2 linked regions of the Cricetulus griseus genome follow. The protein of the gene in region 2 purifies or fractionates together with the protein of the main gene of each other region. This does not show direct contact. Links are inferred from orthologs where the notes say so. Each region holds a gene or a part of one and is shown on either strand. Other genes may lie near its edges.

Region 1 (10,321 bases), on a different chromosome or scaffold from region 2:
AACTGAACACCAGGAACTGAACCCAGAAAGTGCTCTTAACCACTTGAGCCATCTATCCAGGCTGTTTGTATATAAATACAGTACTGGTCAGCCCATGCAGGGAGTGACACATGCCTTTTATCCCAGCACTCAGAAAGTAGAGGCAGGGGGATCTCTATGTTTGAGACTAGCCTGGTGTACAGAGTGAGTTCCAGGACAGTGAAGGCTACACAGAGAAACCCTGTCTTGAAAAACCAAAATAAACAAAGGAAGTAACTAAGTAAGTACTGGCTACCGGCTCTGAGGTGGTTTATACTTGAAGTGGCTCTGAGATAAGAGAACCATTACTATTCTGAATAAAAGGAGTACTCCATTCAAATGGAGACCCTGGCCAGTGGCCCAAAGGCCACACCCACAGACAGGGAGCAGAGGTAACTAACCATGAACCCAGATAACCACCACCACATGACATCATGCTACTCAGCCCAGTTTTTAGTGGAGTTCTAGGGATCAAACTTTTTAATCTGTACATTTATGCAGAGCCTGAAAATAGCCTGGTGATCTTAGGAGTGAATGCCAGTCACCAGTGAGTGGGGTATCTGCTTGGGGCTCACGCACCTGCGGGCTACCTCCACTCAACGCTTCTCAGGTGTGACACACATACTGGTCTGTGAGTCTCTTTCCGTCTGACTTTCTCTGTGTCTTTCCCACTCATATTTTCAACTCCCTGTGCCAGAGGACACATGGAAGTGGCTGGGAAGTGTTAAACGTTGACTGAAGTGACACTGGAACTAAAGGCAAATGTGACTGGACTGTGTTCAAACACTAGTGAGTGAATGACTAATCGTTGGCTTCGGGAGCCAATAGTCTGCATTCTGAGAAGTCTCAGTTTCTCACTGAGAACATTTTCATGCTGCACTTTGTTGTTAACAAATCAAGCGGGTGCCCATTTTTGAGTGTTGATTTATTATGCAAAGATCTGAATTCGGAGACAGAGAAGAAACATGCTTTATCTACGTATTTTTGAAAACTCCATCCAAGGGAAAGGAACCTAGTGTCAGTTTCCAGCAGGTGGGACGTTCTCATGGAGGCACTGCAAGGCCAGGTCTGTCCACTTCATCTCCTGTTCTTTCACAGACTCTGTGGTGCCGCCGTTGTCCTGCTCAGGCTCTGGAAGCTCGCTCTGAAAGGGAAGGACACCCACAACAACCATGAGTTTTTCTTTCTGTACATTTTTGAGATGGCTCTCATGTAGCCTAGGCTGATCTCAAACTATGTCATCTTGAACACTGCTTTCGCACTGGTAGGGACTGAGCTCAGGGGCCTCACACATGCTACCCAAGCATCCTATCACTATGCCACACTCTCAGCCAATCACCTGGAACTCTCCTAACTTCCTTTGCCTCCCAGGAGCTGGAGTTACAGGTGTGGACCTGGTGTTGACTAGTTACTTCTGAAAACAGAGCACATGGCTCTGAAAATCTGGGCTCCAGCACTAAAATGACCACTAAGGTGGTCATATCAGCTGGTTCTCTGAGCCATGAAGAGATGAACTAGTTGTTCTTCAGAGGCTTCTAGATTTGAAGGATGCCACAGTGTGGATTTCTGGGGCCTAGTATTTCACCTTCCAGCAGCCTCCACACATTTCATCTCTGACTCATTGTCCTGAGCTTGGATCATGACCTACCAGTGGGATTGCAACATCCTCGTATGGTAGCTTGTCTTCCCGCCAAGCGTCATCAATCAAATCCAAGATCCTTCCATCCCGTTGTACCTCACTGTCCATTTTCCTGCAGCTTTGGTCTTGTCAGTTCTGTAGGCCAAAGAGGTCATGATGAGGGTGCAGTATAACCCAGGACCAGGACTCCCCATACTTTTAACTTGAAACTGGTGTTGTTATTGTTGTTTGTTTCTTAACATCACCTCAGGAAAGGCCCATTTTATATGGGTCAGGTGACAACATAAAAGATCACAGTTCTTTCCTCTTCAGCTGACAGATGCTTGATAGTGTGAAGATGCAGTCTAGTTGACAGACAAGTTCCCAGTGTAACAGAGAGCAATACATTTCTGAACAAAGCCCTGGAAGGCCCTTCGTCTAACTGTTGCTTTCTTTACAATCGTATACAGTTTTTCCCTGTTTGTAATGCCTTTGACGAGTCTCATCTCCTGCTCCCCAAGCCCGCCCCCATGATTTGGCACAAATCTCCATCTGCCTTGGCTCACACCTTGGCATGGGAGCATGACCTTGACATGCGAGGTGACACTGAGATGGAATGTGTAAAGTGACCAACCATAGACCAGCTGCTAACCCTTAAACAGGAACAATGTGGGCAGCTGGGCTTACTCAGGAAACCACTTCCTTTCTTAAACAGCAGCCAGCCTGAGCTCTAAAAGTAATATGCCATGATCAACAGTGGCAGCTCCAGGTTCTGTGTCCCTCTGGGCTTCCTCTTCCTCCTCCTCTCTCTTTCTTGTTTTTGCATACAGGTTTCTCTGTGTAGCCCTGGCTGTCCTGGAATCTCTGTAGTTCAGGCTGGCCTTGAACTCACAGAGATCCGCCTGCCTCTGCCTTCTGAATGTTGGGATTATACGTGTGCACCAGAACTGCCCAGCCCTCTTCCTCTTTTTTGAGACAGAGCTTCAAACCCTGTAGCCAAAAGCCTCAGTAAGCTCCTAACCCTCCTGCCTCCACCAGTGGGATGATAGGCATGTGGCATCATATCTGCTTTATGATGCACTGGGAATTGAATCAGGGCTTTTTATGTACTAGTTAAGCACCCTACCAACTGACCTACATCCCCAGCCGAGGCGGGCCCTGCAGTTATCCAGGCAGGGAAGCCAACTGTGAAGAAATGAGAATGAAAACAGGGCTCAGATTGGCTATGGGGAGTCTGATGCCAGTTGGTTTATTCTCAACAAATTTAAATACAGTATAATTTGGAAAAAAGTGTCTCAGTGTAATACAATCCCCAGTGCACAAGGAAGTGTAATTACAACAAAACTTGACTCAGGGTTTATATGAGAAATATATTCATTGGAAGAAATATGTCATTTCTTCCAAGAAGCTGGTTTCTACAGCTAGGCTACCTATATTAGCTTAAGTGCCTAAAAAAGGGTCTGGTCTGGTCTAGGTCTCAGTCATACAGATAGCACAGAGGACATCTGGACTTTTAGCCACCCATGGTGTTGGTTGTGGGTGCTTGGGGGGGGGGTCTCTGGCTAGACAGATAATGTAAGGGTCATTTAGACTATTAGGTTATCTCTGGTCCTGGTTGTGGGAGCTTGATATGGCTGGCCCAACAGATAACACTGATTACCATGCTATTAACCATTTCCAATTACCAGCTTCCTAGAAGGAAGAACAGGTTTTCCATCTTTCCCATTCTAAAGAAAATCCTGCATTCTGAACATTCCTAGTCTCCCTGGAGATCTGTAGGTGCAAGGATCTTGGTGTTGTGTTCCCAACACTCAACCCTCTTCCTCCTAAAAAACAAAACATTTATTTGTGTATGTATATGCGGGAGTCAAAGGACATCTTGGGGTGAATGGTTCTCTTCTTCCACGAGGTGGGTCCCAGAGACTAAACTCAGGTGCCACACTTGGCAGGGAATGCCTTTATGCCACTGAGCTATCTTGCTGGCTCTCTTCAGTGCCTGGTCCGAGAGCTTCCTGACCATAGATGACTCCTCAGTTTTCTCCCGAGACAGCTGCAATAATTCACAAGACTGGTCATCACAAACAAGCCCAACTGTACTCCCTGCCACTAAGTGCCAACCCAAAGCAGGCCTTGAAACTACTAGCACACTGCTCTCTCAGGGACTCCTCTGTTTCTGAGAGAAGGGAGACTCATGTAAAAAACAAGCTTTGGTATTGGAGTCTAACTTTGCCATACAAGTATGTGCTTGCCTCCAACAGTATTCAAGGCAAGCTAGCATTATTCATCTAGTTTGGGGGTGGAGAATGGCTTTTACTTTCAAACATTAAACAGAGGGGGCTTGGGAGACAACTCAGTGGGTAAAGTGCTTGCTCTGCAAGCAAGGATACCCAAATTCAGATTGCTGGTATTCACATAAAAAGCCTGGCACAATGGCATGCACTTCCATCCCAGAGGTGGGAGGCAGAGAGGGGAAGACCTCTGGGAGAGACTGCCAGACAGCTGAACAGAAAGCTCACAGGCTTAGTGAAAGACTCAAAGTGGAAGCGATAAGAGGAACACACTGGTGCTGACCTCTGGCCTCTACACTCACCCCTCACTCCACCTCTAGGCACAAACTTCACTACCATCAAGTCATGCACACACAATGAAGCAAAAGGTGGCCAGTACCTCCTGCCACCTAGGAACCAGGTGACTGCTTATCTTTTTTTTTTTTTTTTTTACACTTAGATTTAACTGCCTCTAGCCAGTGGATAATGCAGAGCTAGCTGCAGAAACGTAAAACTAATCCTTCCTGTCAGTTCCAGCCACACTTCCAGAATCCCACAAGTTTTCTAACTTTCTTGTCACTCCTTTGTTCTTGGAGCTATGTCTTGGGCTACCTTTGACACTTCTCCCACTGATTTTCTCAGGTCTATACAGGTTTTCTGTCCTCCAACGCTTGCTGTTTGCCTTAACTAATCTATGAGAAGTTAGGTCGGCTTTGTGACTGACGGGTAGGGTACTTCTGTCTCCAGTGGTAATGTGTAACAGCTGTACCAATGATTCCCGATCTTTCCACAAGTCGGCCTCAACATTTTGCAACATGTCCCTCTTCTATACGCTTGCAACCCGGCATGCTTTTCATCCACCTCCTGCACGTCTTCATCGGTAATGTTTGGCCATCCTTCCAAACCCAACGCGGATGACAGATCTTTGGGTGGGGCACTCGGGTTCTCCCTTTACATAAACAAAGAAGCAAGCACAGGCGATGCCCAAGCTACGGCCACTGCTCCAATCCCTTACCGCATATTATAACTTCTCCGGGTTACTTAAATATATATTTTTACACGCGTACTCTTCTCTTTTCTAGCGCAATCCTCACGCCCAACACAACTCTCAACTCTCAGGTTGTCTCCTTTAGACCCCAGGCCCTTCTCTTCACCAGTCCCCTAGATCTCTGGGGACAGTGCGTGACAACAGGGGAGCTTATGGCACTGTCCAGACATCTCCTTCTAGCTATTAGACGCGTACGTCTTATGCATTTTCGAAATCGACAGCTTTGTGAATGTATTTCTAAGCTAAAAGCACGGCGCAGACACTAAATTTGGTCCTCACGGGCCACCATCCCGAGTCACGAGACGCAGAGACGGTCGCCGCCGCCGCCGCAGCTTCCGGCCCGAAGGCTGGAGATAGCATATGCGGAAGTGGAAAGGGGAGGTGGAGCGTCGCCAAGCGGGCATCCTTCCGCTCCGCACGGCGTGCAATAAGAAAGTGGCTCTGAAGGTCAGCACCTGCCTGCACTTCTGGAAGCACTGGACGCCCGGAGCCTGGTGCGAACGCGGGGACACTCTGCGAAACCCGGGCCGCCGGCGCGGGAAGGAAGGAAAAAAAAACAAAAAAAAAAAACCCCTTACCCACAGCGCGCGAATCGGCTTCCTCCCGGCCCCGCCCTTTCTCCCGGCCACGTGACCCGCGGCGCCCGCATACCCCGTATGTGGTGAGTCCATCGCTGCTGGGAGGGGAGGGGGCGGGGACGGGGGGGGACGAACGTCAATTGTTGGGCGCGCGCGCCCCCGAGGAACGGCGAGCAGGCCCCGGGTGCGCGCTCCGCCGGGGACGCGCTCCGCCGGGGACGCGCTCTGTAACCGCCTGCGTGCCCCAAAGACCGGCGAGCCGCGGCTTGTTGTGGTGCGGACGCGGCCCTGGCCACCGTGGTGCCGCTAGTTTCCCGGCCGCATGGCCCGCGGCCGCTGTCCGTCGATTCCCACATGCAGCCGGACCCTCTACTGTTTGCCTGCGGCTGCCCGGGCACCGCACCCGTGGGTCTCTCCGACTACTCCATGTGCAGCTCGGTGCCGGCCAGCCAGGTGCTGCGGCCTCGGCGGAGGCGGGCGTGCGGGCGGGCGGGCGGGCTGCGGGCTTTAGGGTCAGCGGCTCAGCGGGAAACCCTGGTGATGTTAGTAGGAGAGGAGCGGAAGCGTGGCGGGAATCGCAGATGGCCTCATGCTTAAAGAAGTCAAGCATCGGGAACCAGATTGGGAGAGTGGAAGTTTGGAAAGGGCAGTTCCATAACGCTTGAACCACGGAGACGCTTGGCAGCGAATCTGGATTGCAAATAGGGCTTTTGCCCTGTAACAAAATCGCGCAGTTAGAGCAGGCTGTTGTCTCATTGGTAGACTTTACCCTTGCCCCAAAATACACCCTCCCTACTCAGCGTCTGCTCTCCCTCCAAGTCAGGGTCTTACTATGAAGCCCCGACTGAGCACGCCTTTAATCCCAGCATTTGGGAGGCAGAGGCAGGTAGATCACTGTGAGTTCGAGGCCAGCCTGGTCTACAAAGCGAGTTCCGGGACAGCCAGGGCTGCTACAAAGTAACGCAGAGAAAACCTGGGGAGGGAGGGGGAGGAGGGGAGAAAAACCCTGACTGGCCAGGAACTCACTATGTAGAACAGACTGTCCTCAAACTCGCAGAAATGGGCCTGCCTCTGCCTCCTGGGTTAAGGACCTGGTGCCACCTCGACTGGCTTTTCTAAGCTGTCTTTCTTGAGGCTAATTTAGATTTTTAAAAATTTATTTAGCAAAGCAGGGTAGGCGCTCAACTTCTCGTATACCTACATTTAGTTTTAATTTTGTATTTAGTTTATATTTTGTATTTAAGTAAAGGATCAATGAATATAAATTATCTTTAGCTATTTACACCTACTCTTCATGGTGTGTGTGTGTGTGTGTGTGTGTGTGTGTGTGTGTGTGTGTGTGTAATAGCCCTAGCTGTCCTGGAACTCGCCTTACAGACCAGGCTGGCCTCGAACTCAGATCCACCTGCGTCTGCCTCCCGAGTGCTGGGATTAAAGGCATGCACCACCATGACAAGCTACACTTACTGTTAAAGTCTGTAGCTTAATGTATAACAAAACAAGTTTTCTTATTTGGAATTCAGCACCATCTTTAGGTTAATTTTTGTCCCATGTTCTTTGTCTTTTATTGATCAGTAAAGGAGGCTGTAAAACTAAAATGGGTTAAATGGGTTAGAGATTTACAAACTCACATACACAGCCATTTAAAATGTGTGCATACTGAAGTTTTTTTTTTTTTTTTTAAAGATTTTATTATGTATACAACATTCTGCTTCCATGTATATCTGCACACCAGAAGAGGGCACCAGATCTCATAACAGATGGTTGTGAGCCACCATGTGGTTGCTGGGAATTGAACTCAGGTCCTCTGGAAGAGCAGTCGGTGCTCTTAACTGCTGAGCCATCTCTCCAGCCCGAATACTGAAGTTTTAAGGACAATATAGATATTATTAATTATGACAATGTTGCTTCCTCCCATGGAGCAGTAGAGGACCGTTACTTAGCCTTTCTGCTCTCACCTACTGTGTATGAGCTGACAGTGACAGCATTAGTCCAAACTGTCATAGCTAATATGCTCCCCACCCCATGGCTGTCATAGCTAAGATGCTTCCCATGCCAAGGGCTAGATTTGCTTTTATAAAACCATAGTACTACTTTTATAGCAGTACAAATTTGTAAAAAAAATACACAATGTCAGTATCCAGTGGGATCAGGTTTCTCCAGCTACTCCACATGTGCTTGCAATACCTTGTTTGGATCAAAATTCTGCAGAGAACTGTCTGCTTCATTGGTTTGCCAGGCATTTAAATCCTCTAGCAATAGCTGCTTCTTAACCTCCCATTCCTCTTTACCATTTAAAAATTAGCTGGTTGTGTGTAGTTTTGAACACTCGTCTCTACTTCACCTATGACCTCTACTCCACTGGCTGAATCCTGAGTTACACTGTCCAGTATGGTCGTCATCAGATAGCCGTGCTGTTTTAAATGAAATAAATAATTGGTTCCCCAGTTGCATTAGTCACCTTTGAAACACCCAGCAGTCACAGGTTGCCTAGTGGCTGCTGCTTGAGTAATACAGATAAAAATGTTTCCATAATCACAGAAAGTTCTGTTGAAATACAGTGATCAGAAGTGTTAGATTCAACTTTTTTTTTTTTTTTTTTGATAGGAAGTGCAAGAAAAAAAGCCATAGGTGTAGGTTCTATATTATGAAAATTATCTGTTGCATTCATTATCAGGGTGACATTTAATGTCTGAGTCATCCTATCTGGGATGTTACAGTTGAGCTGTGTAGAGTGGTTCCTGTGCTATCAGTTCAGCTGACCCACCATGAAATTGTTCAAGAGCCTTTCAGTTAATAGGGATACCTTTCTTTCATGGCTAGCAGTGCCTGGGTCTGTTACTGCACCACAGCCACAGAGTGGTGGTTTCTAATTGTGTCTTGTCTGGCACTTTGCTGAAGAACTTGCCTCCCATAACTGTCTGACTGCCCTGAAATACAGTTGGGACAGGAATGGCAAGAAAAATGCTTAACTCTGTTCCTTTCTTTTCAGACTACAGCAATGACTTGGTGGCCTGGCAACCTTCAAAGGTAACCTGAAGGCTTTACCTTTAAAACCAACAGATAGACTTTAATATGTTTAAAACTGTGGCCTAGCAACCTCCTGAGTTAACCTGAGGGCTTTGCCTTTAAAAACAAACCATTAGACTTTAATGTGTTTAAACTGTTAGAACATACTGCAATTTTTTTGATACCTCAAATTGTTTTGTTTTTAGCCAGTGGGAACCCTTCAAGACCCATAGTTTTGATAGCTTCCTTCTTCTGGTTTTGCTTTAGTTGGGTTTTATATAGCCCAGGCTGGCCTTGAACTTGCTCTGTAGCCAAGGTTGATCTTGAACTTATGATCTTCCTGCCTCCATTTCCCAAGTGCTAGGATTACGGATGTGAGCGCCATGTCCAGCTCAGTACTGCTTCTTTTCCTTTTTATGTGTGAGTTATCAAAACATCATCATAGTCCCTATAAAACAACATAAATCCAGACTTGCGGGGAGCAGCTTGGCTTTAGCCCCATCTCCTCTGCCTTGATTGTTCCTCTCCTCATAGGTGTAGTGCTTCTCAGTTTGTTCTCAGTAAATAAGTACTCCAAGACAAACACACTTCTTTTTACTGTTTGTATCTTGCTGCTTTTACCTTCTAACAGATCACTCCACAAGGGACGTTGTGACTGTTACCTCTTTTTACAGCTTCATAGTATTCCCTCAGTGAATGAATGTATAGTGATTTTTTGTTGTTTATAAGTAATGCTGCAGGGAATGCCCTTTATACACCTCGTTTTGTATTTTTCCAGTAAGTAAGACTAAGCATCTTTTCATTAAAATAAGGCCATTTGCTTTCCCTTTTCTGTTGACTGACTGTTCCTATACCCATTTTCCTATAGCTATCTTAAAAAAAAAAAAAAAAAAAACTTTCTGAAAGTTATTTATATCTTTAGAAATTAACCTTTTGTAGTAAAACTCTTTCTTATTTATTTTGGTTTTTTGAGACAGGATTTCTCTGTGTAGCCCTGGCTGTCCTGGAACTTGCTGTGTAGACCAGGCTGGTCTCTGACTCAGAGATCCACCTGCCTCTGCCTCCTGAGTGCTACAATTAAAGGTGGGTGCCACCACTACGTGGCACAAAACTATTTCTAAGGCTTTCTTTGTGGATTTTTCCATTTAAAAGTTTAAGTAGTCATATTTCTCAGTATAATTTTTCTTCCTAATTTTGGTTGTAGTTTGACAGCCTTTTAAAACTTTCATCTTTACTTTGAAAATTTTCTCTAGTTTACCCTCCACCCCTTTAAAGAGAAACTTTTTGGTAAACAAGGAACAGTGTTGGTTGTTCTTTGGAAGAGCTGCAGCTTATTAGTGTAGTATGTCTGTCACAGCCATAGAACTTTGTAATGATAGGAATCCCGAGGCCGGCAGAGTGACTGCACATGGCTGTTCTCCTTTAAGGTGGCTTAAAGTGGCATGGCCCTTTTCTTAGCATCACACATTCACACATTTACTCACAGGTTTTTCTTCCTGTGTTCCATTTTATTTTATTTTATTTTATTTATTATGTATACAGTCTTCTGCCTGCATGCCAGCAGAGGACACCAGATCTCATTCAAGGTGGTTGTGAGCCACCATGTGGTTGCTGGGAGTTGAACTCAGGACCTCTGGAAGAACAGTCAGTGCTCTTAACCTCTGAGCCATCTCTCCAGCCCCCTGTGTTCCATTTTGTAATGTGATCTTTGATGTGCACTCTGGATATTTCCCCTTCACTTGTAAAGGGAAGAGGTTAAATGAGAGGACTACGGTGCCTTCTG
Region 2 (10,295 bases):
ACTATACTTGGTTTTTTTTGAGCTAGGAAGCTCAACTATACTTGGTTTTTTTTGCAGTTTGCTAGCAATCCAATTTCAGGTCCTCATGCTTGTGTAGCAATTCCTTTTGCTGACTGAGTCATTTCCCTAGTCCTACCATCTATTCTGATAATACCAAACTTTTTTTTGGGGGAGGGTAGTAGTTTAAAAAATAAAATAAGTACAGGTTAGGTGAAGATTCTCACAACTACTACGAGGAGATGGAGAAAGGGTGTGTCTACAACTTATTAAGAAGAGAACAGGGGAGCTGGAGAGATGGTTCAACAGTGAAAAACACTTGCTGCTCTTCCTGAGGATTCAAGTTTAGTTTACAAGGCCCACATGGAGCAGCTCACAACCACCTGTTGGATCCAGTTCCATGTGAGCCAACAGCCAAGGAGGAGACCCAAAAGGGAGGTTTTGGAGAAAAAAAGAAAAAGAAAAAAAAGATCCCCACTGCACAAACTGCCTCAAAGTTGTTATGTAGTAGAGAATGCCTTTGAACTCTTTATTTGCTTGCCTTTGCCTCTCACATGCTAGGACTACAGACTTGCACTGCCACAACCGATGATATATATATAATATATATATATATATATATATATATATATGTTTTTTGAGACAGGGTTTCTTTGTGGCTTTGGAGGCTGTCCTGGAATCCACAGAGATCCACCTGTCTCTGCCTCCCGAGTGCTGGGACTAAAGGCATGCGCCGCCACCACCACCACCCGGCTTATTCGTACATTTTAAGACAGATTCTCACTACCTAGGCTGGCTTCAAATTCACAGTCCTGCTTCCATTTCCCAAGTCTTGGGATTCCAAGCATGCCCCACCACACCCAGCTCAATACTTAAAATGTAAACTGTACTCAGATTTAAATACCTGTGACGGACTGAATGACTGACTGACTGAATGAATGAATGTATGAAATAAAGCAAAGCTTATTTCAAGACCAGAAAAGCTAGCTTCATACAATGTAAGGTACAAGAAAGGGAGGGAGGGAGGGTAGAGGGAAAAAGAGAGGAAAGAGGAAAGAACCCTAACAAAAAAATGTCATTGTAGAAATTATCATCTAAATTCTGTAACTCTAGTCTTTACTTATCTGATTGGTTGTTTTATATTTCTGCTTTTGAAGCAGGGTCTCATTTTGCCAAGGCTGATCTCAAAACTTACGACACAGGCCTTAAACTCCCAAGTGATGGGATTTCAGGCATGTTGTCACCATATCCGACTCTATATGATGGTTCTTTATCTAGGTGGTTCTCTGATCCCACATTTAGCCATGTCTGATGGGGGGCATTTTGGACTATTTTAAACGGAGAAGGCATCTGGTAAATAGAGATGCAGTAAAACACTCCTTAATACCCACGTAACCCAATCCACTTTCTCCAAAAAAAAAAAAAAAAAAAATCAGTCCTGACAAAATTTAAAAACCTGATCCACATTACTATGCAGCTGGGTCATCCTACTAGTCTATGTACCGAACTTGTCTTTTCCTCCTTACCAACAAAATCACATCACTATTCCCAACACACTGCTTTTGTTTGTTTGCTTGTGTTTTGTTTGTTTTTTCGAGACAGGGTTTCTCTGTGTCTTTGGAGGCTGTCCTGGAACTCACAGAGATCCACCTACCTCTGCCTCCTGAGTGCTGGGATTAAAGGTGTGCACCACCACCGCCTGGCTCACACTGCTTTCATTACTAATTCTATCAAAATTTTCTTGCAGCCTGGGGTAGTGGTACAAGTTTGTAATCCCAGCACTCCAGAAGCAGAGACAAGAGGATAGTAAGTCATAGGCCTGCCTGCACTAGAAGGGAGTACAAAGCTAGCCCAAGATTTATTATTAATACACTAAATCTAAACCTTTCAGCTTAAATGCTGAGTCTCCTGTAATTTGATTCTGGCTAGTCAAAAACTTCTGTTTTCAACTTCTAGTCTAGTTAAGAATACAATATTTTCACAGGTCAGAATCCCCCCAAAATAGTTTTTGTCCCAGTTAAGAAATGAACTTGCCATAATTAATAAGGGAAAACATTAAAAACAAAAACTTCCTTAAAAAAAAAAAAGAATATTTTACTGTTCTAAGTGATACTCTAAACTTTGGGCTGTTGCTCATGCAATTTCAAGTCAAGAATACACCTCCTCTTTTTTAATTTCTTAGGTTTCAAATTCTAATTGCTCAAAAAGCCAGTCCCCATTTTTTTTTCTGACCTACAAAGCTCTCTCTTTCCTGAATTCCTTTATTAGTATCTATGTAATTAAATGCATAGTTAACATCCAATTGTTCCTGCTAATCATTCTTCATGTTCTCAGGACTAGAACCCAAGATGAGGAATTATGTCTCCATAGTTTCACAAGTTATTTCCAACTTCTTTTCTTCAAAACAGAACATATTTTTTTTTTTTTTTTTTGAGACAGGGTTTCTCTGTGTAGCACTGGCTGTCCTGAAACTCACTCTGTAGACCAGGCTGATCTGCCTGATTCTGCTTTCCAAGTGCTGGGATTAAGGGTGTTCATCACCACCAGGCCAAAACAGAATTCTTAAATGTCTTCTTTTGAATCTGCCCCAATCCTATCTGGTAGAAAAGCATTTATTATTTTTCTAGGGAATTAGTTTTAGCTTGGGGGAGCTATGAATTGTTTTGACACAGCATCTCACTATGCAGCCTTGGCTAGCCTGAATTCACTATGTAGACAGGCTGGCCTTGGACGAACAGAGATCTACCTGCCTTGACCTTACAAGCCTCACAAGTGCTGAGATCAAAAGGCATGTGTCATCACAAGCAGCTGGATTTTTCATTTTTTAAACAGCACCACTGAAATAAAATTCAGGCAGTCATTTTTGATACCAACTCCAGGAAGACAATCCCCTCCCCATGTTTCAATGGTTCTACTTTCCAAGTTATTTCCTGAATTTCTACCTCTAAAACCTTTATCTACCCTTTTCCTGTTCCACTGCTACTCTAGATACCTTTGCTTCTAAGACGACAGGCTTCTCTTGACCATGATGCTTCTCACGTAGCAGCCATAGTATGGTACTCTTTGAAACATTATTAGGTGACACTTGGGGACATCTTATCCCAAGTCAAAAGTACTCTTTCACTATTAAATAAAACTCTAAGCTGGGCGTTGGTGGCGCACGCCTTTAATCCCAGCACTCGGGAGGCAGAGGCAGGAGGATCTCTGTGAGTTCGAGACCAGCCTGGTCTACAAGAGCTAGTTCCAGGACAGCCTCCAAAGCCACAGAGAAACCCTGCCTCGAAAAAACAAAACAAACAAAAAAAGCAACAACAACAACAAAAAACCTCTAAAAGGATGACATGAATTATGGATGGATAATACCCAAACTCCTTTATTTTGTTTTGGTTTTTGAGACATGGATTTATGTAGCTCAGGCAGACCTTGAACTCCTTATCTTCCTGCCTCTAGTTGGAGTTTCAGATGCAGATTAGCATGCAAGGTTCTTCCATCTAGTTCCTCTATTGCACAGTAAAATCATTTTCAAAAGGCTTGTCTACAATTTCATCCAATACATCTGTGAAGCTTCACTTACAGCAATAATTGATACAGCTTTATCAATTGATGCAGCTATATAAAACACCTGCCTCTTAAAACAACAACAGCTTTCAGTGAAATGGCTCAGAGGATAAAGATACTTGTCACCAAGACTGACTGACACACACATGTACACACAGTAAATGAAAGTTAAACAAGACACCATACCAACAAAAAAATGCCACTTTTACAGGCACCCAAATTAGTACTGTGAATGCCTTTAATCCCAGCCAGGGCTACACAGTGAGACTGCCACAAAAATCAATCTGTGCTTTGAAATATCAAAGATTATTTTGTAAAGACTCAAATATAAAGCCAGGTGCCTGTAATTCCAGCACTTGGGAGGCAGAGGCAGGTGGATCTCAAGTGAGTTCGAGGCCAGCTTGGTCTACAGAGAAAGTTCCAGGACAGCTTGGAACTGTCCCACAGAGAAACCCTGTCTCAAAAAACAGAAGACTCAAATATAAAGCAATGTTTTTTCTATGAGTGCTAACTTGGGGAGGGGCTTATATTTAAGTCTATATGGCACATTTCACTGGGTAAAAATTTTAAGGAGGGGGGTAGGAACAAATAGTTGTGCATTATTTCTGTCAACTTTTTCCTGTGCCTAGATCACCAGGAACAAAGTAAAGAAAATATTCTCAACACTATTTTCATCCTGATATATGGAATGAACAATTCTTAAAACAATTATCTTAGCATCTCTTTACTTTTTTCTTTCATACTAGCTCTTTCTCATTTTCAACAGCATTCCTGCTCAAAGTTAGCTAATTTCTCCCACTGCTAACTGCTCCTTTTGTTGTTATTTTGTTTTTGTTTTTTGTTTTTTTTGAGACAGGGTTTCAGATAGCCCATGTTGGCCTTGAACTTGCTCTGTAGCCAAGGATGACCCTGAACTCCTGATCCTCCGGCCAACTATAAATTATTCTCATCCCCTCACACCCCAAAACTTCTTACAATTACCCTAAAATCTAATGGAAAAAGTTATTATGGAGGAGAGGGAGGTAAATTCCACAGTACTTTAAAAACAAACAGGAAACCTGCTGGATTCTATCTTGCTTAAACAATGTATTCTACACTCTCATGGTTTTCTAGAAGTTAAAAATTTTTAAGTAGTAGTTTACATGCTGTAAACTATCATATCACTTTAGAAGCCTTCTGGCTCCAGAAAAGCAGAAAAGTAAGACAAAACTACAATATGAAATAAAAACTAATTATCTGAATAACCTCCTTATCCGTTTAATTTCATGTTAGGCCTCAAAAGGGCCTTTTAAGGGACTCTACACTAGGAAGAGAAATCTGGAAAGAAATGCAGCTTTGGAAGAATTGATACAACATACAGAGACATGGGCTGGGCAGTGGTGGCCCACGCCTTTGATCCCAGAACTCGGGAGGCAGAGGCAGACAGATCTCTGTGAGTTCGAGACCAGCCTGGTCTACAAGAGCTAGTTCCAGGATAGCCTCCAAAGCCACAGAGAAACCCTGTCTTGAAAAACAAAATAAAACAAAAAAAATAAAACAAAAAACATACAAACATATGTTTTATGTACAGTTCCGAAGATATAATCCAGAATTATATTAATTCAAATACTAATAGCTGTCACCATGTAAACATCTGGAGATGAAGTTCAACTAGGGAAACCGTATTTTAGGCTGCGATGAGACATTAAGGAAATGCTGTACTGACGTACTGAAATATTAAATATTTGTTGTCAGTCTTACCTAAGGCAATTCGCAGCAATTTCTAAAATCGGTTTGATTTATAACTTCAAAATAGCTTATGGCTTAATGATTGTAATTTAATGGAGGCCAACTGTGGTCATGTCAAAGATCATACGGTGGAATGAAACATCTCCCAAACCTGGTCCACCACCAAAGGACAATAGGTTCAGTTTCTTCAGATGTGGCAGGGGGGAAAATGACTTGGCACTGCATCACATACTTCAAAACCCAATAGGCTTTCTTCTGACAACAGCACCGTGTGCGTCAATGCATACCTTGGTGTGGTTAAGGAATGGACGAATGGTGAAATGGATGGGAAAGCAATTATCTCTAATTTCCTAAACACCTTCTAAATCAGCACGGTAAAATGCCTCCTGATACCCATCCTAGGTGATGGAAAAAATCCAGACCTGCCCTTTCGTCCACTCCCCTGCTGGGGTGTTTGCCCCGCAGCAGTGGGCCTGGGAGTTCCCTTCTCAGGTCGTCATTGTCCGGTGGGAAATCCACGGAGAACTGTAACGTGGACAAGAAAGTCTGCTCCCGAAACGAAAACCAGTACCGAAAATACGGGTAATTTTACGTCTTCCTTCGACCACCTCACGTAAAACAAAAGCAAGGAAACACCAGTAAACTTGCCCCACGGGTGTGAAATCCCACCAGCTCGGCTCAAAAGCGCTTCTGTGTCGACCCCCGGGACGCCGAGCACTCGGAGCGCCGTCTCGGGCGGCCCCTCGTCTCCCACCGCGGGCAGGAACCCAGACCAACAAGAGGGGGATGGCCGGACGCCAGGACCGACGGAAACGAGTGATTCCCGCCGAACCCGGCTGGCACAACAGGCGAGAAGTAATGCGGGGCCGGGGCTAACCTCGGCTGAGGCCGCGGGCAAGGCCTCGGGAGTGACGAAAGACAGGTAGGGGGCTCGCCGAAAGGGAGGCGGGAGAAGCGGGGCCTAGGCCGCAGCAGGCCGCGGAGTGGCTGCTCGCCGCTTGCGACCCAGGCATGGCGCCAGGCCTCGGAGCAGGCGCTAGTATTACCTGGACAGGTTCCTGCAGCACCGTCATCCTTGAGGCTCAGGCCCACTTTCTGCAGTGCCTCAGGCCCCCCCCGTAGCGACTCCGGCCCGGCCAGCCCCGGCTCATTTAAACTCACCAGCGACCGTTACCGGGGGATGGGGGAGGCCGAGTGGTTGCCGAACTCCTCCGAGCGTGACACGGAAATACCCGAAGTGGAGAGAGCCAAACGAGAGCGAGACGGAAAAGCCCGAGAGATGTCGGAAATACTCGAGGTGAGCCTCCGGAGGCGGAGTCTGTGGCCGGAAATTGGCGAGTGCTACCGGAAGTTGTTGGGTTGGGCCCAATCGGAAGTTCCTCTTCTCAGCCACGCCTTCGCCCTACGCACGCCACGCCCAATTGGCCACGCTAGCTGGGCCACGCCCAAAGAGCTACTAGTAGGATGGGCCTGGAGGGAGGGATCCGGCCGGCCGGAGTTACCTGTGGGACTGTTGGTCGGGGTAAGCGCCTCCGCCGTTCCCTGTTGTGCACGGTAGATTCAGCGAGGGGTAAAATACTAGTCTGGGGCTGAATTCAATAAAGTCTTTTGAGTTTAGGTCATTATCCACTCCTGGAATTCCTACTCAGGCCTCTGAGGAAAATCGAGGGATAATTGGAACATTGCCATTCCCCAAATATATAGGATTCCTGTATTCAAAGAGATACGGTCTGTTGCAAACAAAAACGCCTAGGCTGTGTACTTGCCTAGCATGCATGAAGCCCTAGGGGTGATCGCCAGTGTCACCTAAACATTGCTCTCCTGCTTTGGGAGGCGGACGCAGAAGTATCTAGAGTACAGGATAATTAAGAACAAGATAGCGAGTTTGAGGCAAGCTTGGGCTACCTGACACCCTGGCTCATAATTGAAAAAAAAAAAATCAGTGTAACTGAGAATTTCGTTATTTGCAACTTGTTCTGGGTGATGTAAAACTTCAACTTCAGAGAAGAGGGAAGTAAATAGGGAAATAGGGATTTAAATGATGGCTGTAGTTACAAACACTAACAGAGGGTTTAATGTCTGCTTTTTGGCCACATCCTCAGAATAAACAAAGGAACTATTAAAATCTCCCTTTTCGTCAGACAAGGAAAGCTTCTGAAAGTTAACTTTCTGTTGGGACTCCTCTGAGCTAGATGTGAAACTGGAAATCTCCTTTTTCCCCTGGATACTGAGGATCTAACCTCTCATTACTGGTAGGCTAAGCAAGTGATCAACAATTGAGCTACATCTCCAGCCCTCTTGTTACTTTTTTTTGTTTTGTTTTTATTTTAAAGTATTGAAGGTACCCAGGCTGTCTTTGAACTTTTAAAACCTGCCTCAGCCTCTCAGACTACCGCTGGCACCAGTCCTGGTTCTGGGAATCAATCAATCTCAGTCCCCCAGCCCCTCATTTCCACATTGTGTACAGATGATACAGTTAGCATTGTCATTTTAGAGATGCTGGGGGTTAGTCATCTAATGGTAGCCATCCTTTTCCTCGTCCCCCTTTCCTTCTAATAGATCCAACTGTCTCCAGACATTGCCTACATACTTGTTAGTCCCATGAAAGATGGGTGCTAAGGCAATTTCCAGCCGGCCCATGCCCTGTTCTTTTAATGGGATTGTGTTGGATGAATTAGAGTGGGAATAAACATCCGTGCTGGCCTATATAACAGTTGCTCACTATTTAAAGTTCAGTTTAAACCAAATGAAATTCTTCAGATATTCTAGTCACATCCCAAAGACCTAAGTCATTGACATAACTAGAGTTGTTATTGAAATAGCTAGAATTGGAGGACAACTTTACCCGTGAGTCTAAGGTCTTGCTAATATCTGGGCCTCTCGATTCTCCCCAACAAAACCTTTTTCTTCATACAGTGATTGCTCACCAGTCAGTGGCCTATCCTAGCTTGAATTGGTGTCTGTCAAGCAAGTCAGTGAAAACAGAAGCTTTGAGGCCCCTTCAAGCCTAGATCTGAAAGTCAAATCCATTGTTGGTCAATTTAAGACACAGGATCAGCCTGGATTTACCAGGAAAACATGCTCCATCTCTTGATGAGGGAATAGCAAAGCAACTCTGCAAAAGATATGCGCAATGAGAGGGATTGGTGGGTCATCTTTGATCCCCCACCACCACCTGGTACATTGATTTCTCCCCACCCCCATAATTTTGCAAATGCTAGGCAAACACTACCATTGAGGTCCCCCATCAGCTCCAGCCATCCTTGGAAATGGAGTCTGGCTGGGTGGTGGTGGCAGTGGTGCACGCCTTTAATCTCAGCACTCGGGAGGCAGAGGCAGGTGGATCTCTGTGAGTTAGAGACCAGCCAGGTCTACAAGAGCAAGTGCCAGGATAGGCTCCAAAGCCACAGAGAGACCCTGTCTCGAAAAACAAAACAAACAAACAAAAAAAACAAAAACAAACAAACAAAAAAACCAAAAAAAAAAAAAAAAAACCAAAAAAAAGAAAGAAAGAAAAAAACTCCCTCCCAGACATTCCCAGAGGCTCATTTCCATGGTCCGGTTACTTTAAATCCTGTCCTGTTGCCATCAAGATGAACCATCACTGATTATTAATTATTTGGAAACATTTATTAAAACAATCCAAAGCTGTGTTAAAACAACCCAAAGCTGTGTTTGCATGCTGTAGCAACCACACAACATGATTAATGTTGCATTTGTGGTTACTTTTATACACTGAGCTCTTCTGTCACATAAGGTGTATCAACTCAAGTCTTGACTTATATATTGGAGTTTTGTAAACCTATTGTAGATTTACCACAGAGGAGGTGGATTTTGAGCTTAGAATCTCATTTTTCCAAAGCTCCTGTCCCCCCCCCCCCCAAAAAAAAGAAAAGAACAAGAACATCTGGGGCTAGAGAGCTAGCTCAGTCAGTAAGAGCTTGTCTTATAAGCATGAAGACCTGAGTTTAGTCCCTAGGACTCATGGCACACAATTACAATCCCAGGGCTGGGGCCACAGAGACAGGCATATCACTGGAACTCACTGGCCAGCCAGCTTAGTCTCCAAGTCAATGTGAAGCCCTGTGCCAAAAAAAAAAAAAAAAAAAAAAAAAAAAAAAAAAAAAAAAAAAAAAAAAAAACGAAGGTGGAGCCAGGCATGACTGTATATGCCTTTAATACTAGCACCAGGGAGGCAGAGGCAGGCAGAACCCTGTGAGTTTCAGGTTAGGGTGTTCTATATAGCCTAGGTGAGACAGGGCTGTATGGTGATACCTGGTCTCTGAAATAAAAACCAAACCAAACCACCGTCCCCCTCAAAAGAAACAAAAAATTAAAAAATCCAAACCAAACCTAACCAAAACCCCAACAAAACAAACAAAAAATTCCCACCAAGGTGGATAGTGCTTGGAAATAACACTGGAGACCTCCATATACCCGAGAGTTGGAGACAGGAGAATCAGGAGTACAAAGTTATCATTGGCTACATAGCAACTCAGAGGCCAGCCTGGGCTACAGGAGACCCTGTATCAAGAAACCAAGCAAAGAAAGAAAGCCAGACACAGTAGTCGGGTCCTTCGGGAAACAGCTTAGAGCACACCCAGCAAGTGTATTCTTTTTCTGAGTGTTGTCACTTGCCACCTTCAGCTGGCATCTTGTTCCTGCCATGTAAGATCCTATGCCCTGTTTATCTTCCTTGACCTCAAGGCTTCTCCCACCTCATCATGTTTTTTCCTTCCTCTTACTCATCCTCTGTGGCTTTGATAACATAGCCCTCTGTTGATACTCCCTCCCCCACTGCTGGTTTTTGTTTTTTGTTTTTTGTTTTTCAATCTCCTTTGCAGTGCCCTACCAGCTTGACATTTGAGGGCTTCAAGGGACCTGTTTTAGCCTTTTCCTTACCCTACATATTATTCGTCCTAGGCAAATTTGCCTATTTTTGTGGCATCTGTTTTTTTTGTTTTGTTTTGTTTTGTTTTCTTTTTTTGAGACAGGGTTTCTCTGTGTAGCTT

The links.
Region 1: the proteins of Cdc27 (region 2) and Anapc13 purify together in Homo sapiens (affinity purification with mass spectrometry; 5 studies listed by BioGRID and IntAct, counting the BioPlex papers as one, with this or other methods). This does not show direct contact. The link is inferred for Cricetulus griseus from reciprocal best matches to the Homo sapiens genes CDC27 and ANAPC13.

What each region holds. Positions count from the first base shown.
Region 1 is NC_048597.1:210,863,851-210,874,171, reverse strand, and holds Anapc13 (anaphase-promoting complex subunit 13), read right to left. Parts: upstream 5,617-10,321; 5' UTR 5,613-5,616; coding exon of another isoform or gene 5,608-5,612; 5' UTR 5,530-5,607; exon of another isoform or gene 5,407-5,529; intron 5,185-5,406; exon of another isoform or gene 4,919-5,184; intron 3,471-4,918; exon of another isoform or gene 3,322-3,470; intron 1,793-3,321; 5' UTR 1,766-1,792; coding exon 1,667-1,765; intron 1,163-1,666; coding exon 1,037-1,162; 3' UTR 925-1,036; downstream 1-924. Other genes in the region: Cep63 (centrosomal protein of 63 kDa), read left to right, coding at 5,884-5,982, 8,522-8,559. UniProt on the Homo sapiens protein: Component of the anaphase promoting complex/cyclosome (APC/C), a cell cycle-regulated E3 ubiquitin ligase that controls progression through mitosis and the G1 phase of the cell cycle.
Region 2 is NC_048600.1:117,569,543-117,579,837, forward strand, and holds the start of Cdc27 (cell division cycle protein 27 homolog), read right to left. Parts: upstream 6,469-10,295; 5' UTR 6,357-6,468; coding exon 6,330-6,356; intron 6,206-6,329; exon of another isoform or gene 5,519-6,205; intron 1-5,518. UniProt on the Homo sapiens protein: Component of the anaphase promoting complex/cyclosome (APC/C), a cell cycle-regulated E3 ubiquitin ligase that controls progression through mitosis and the G1 phase of the cell cycle.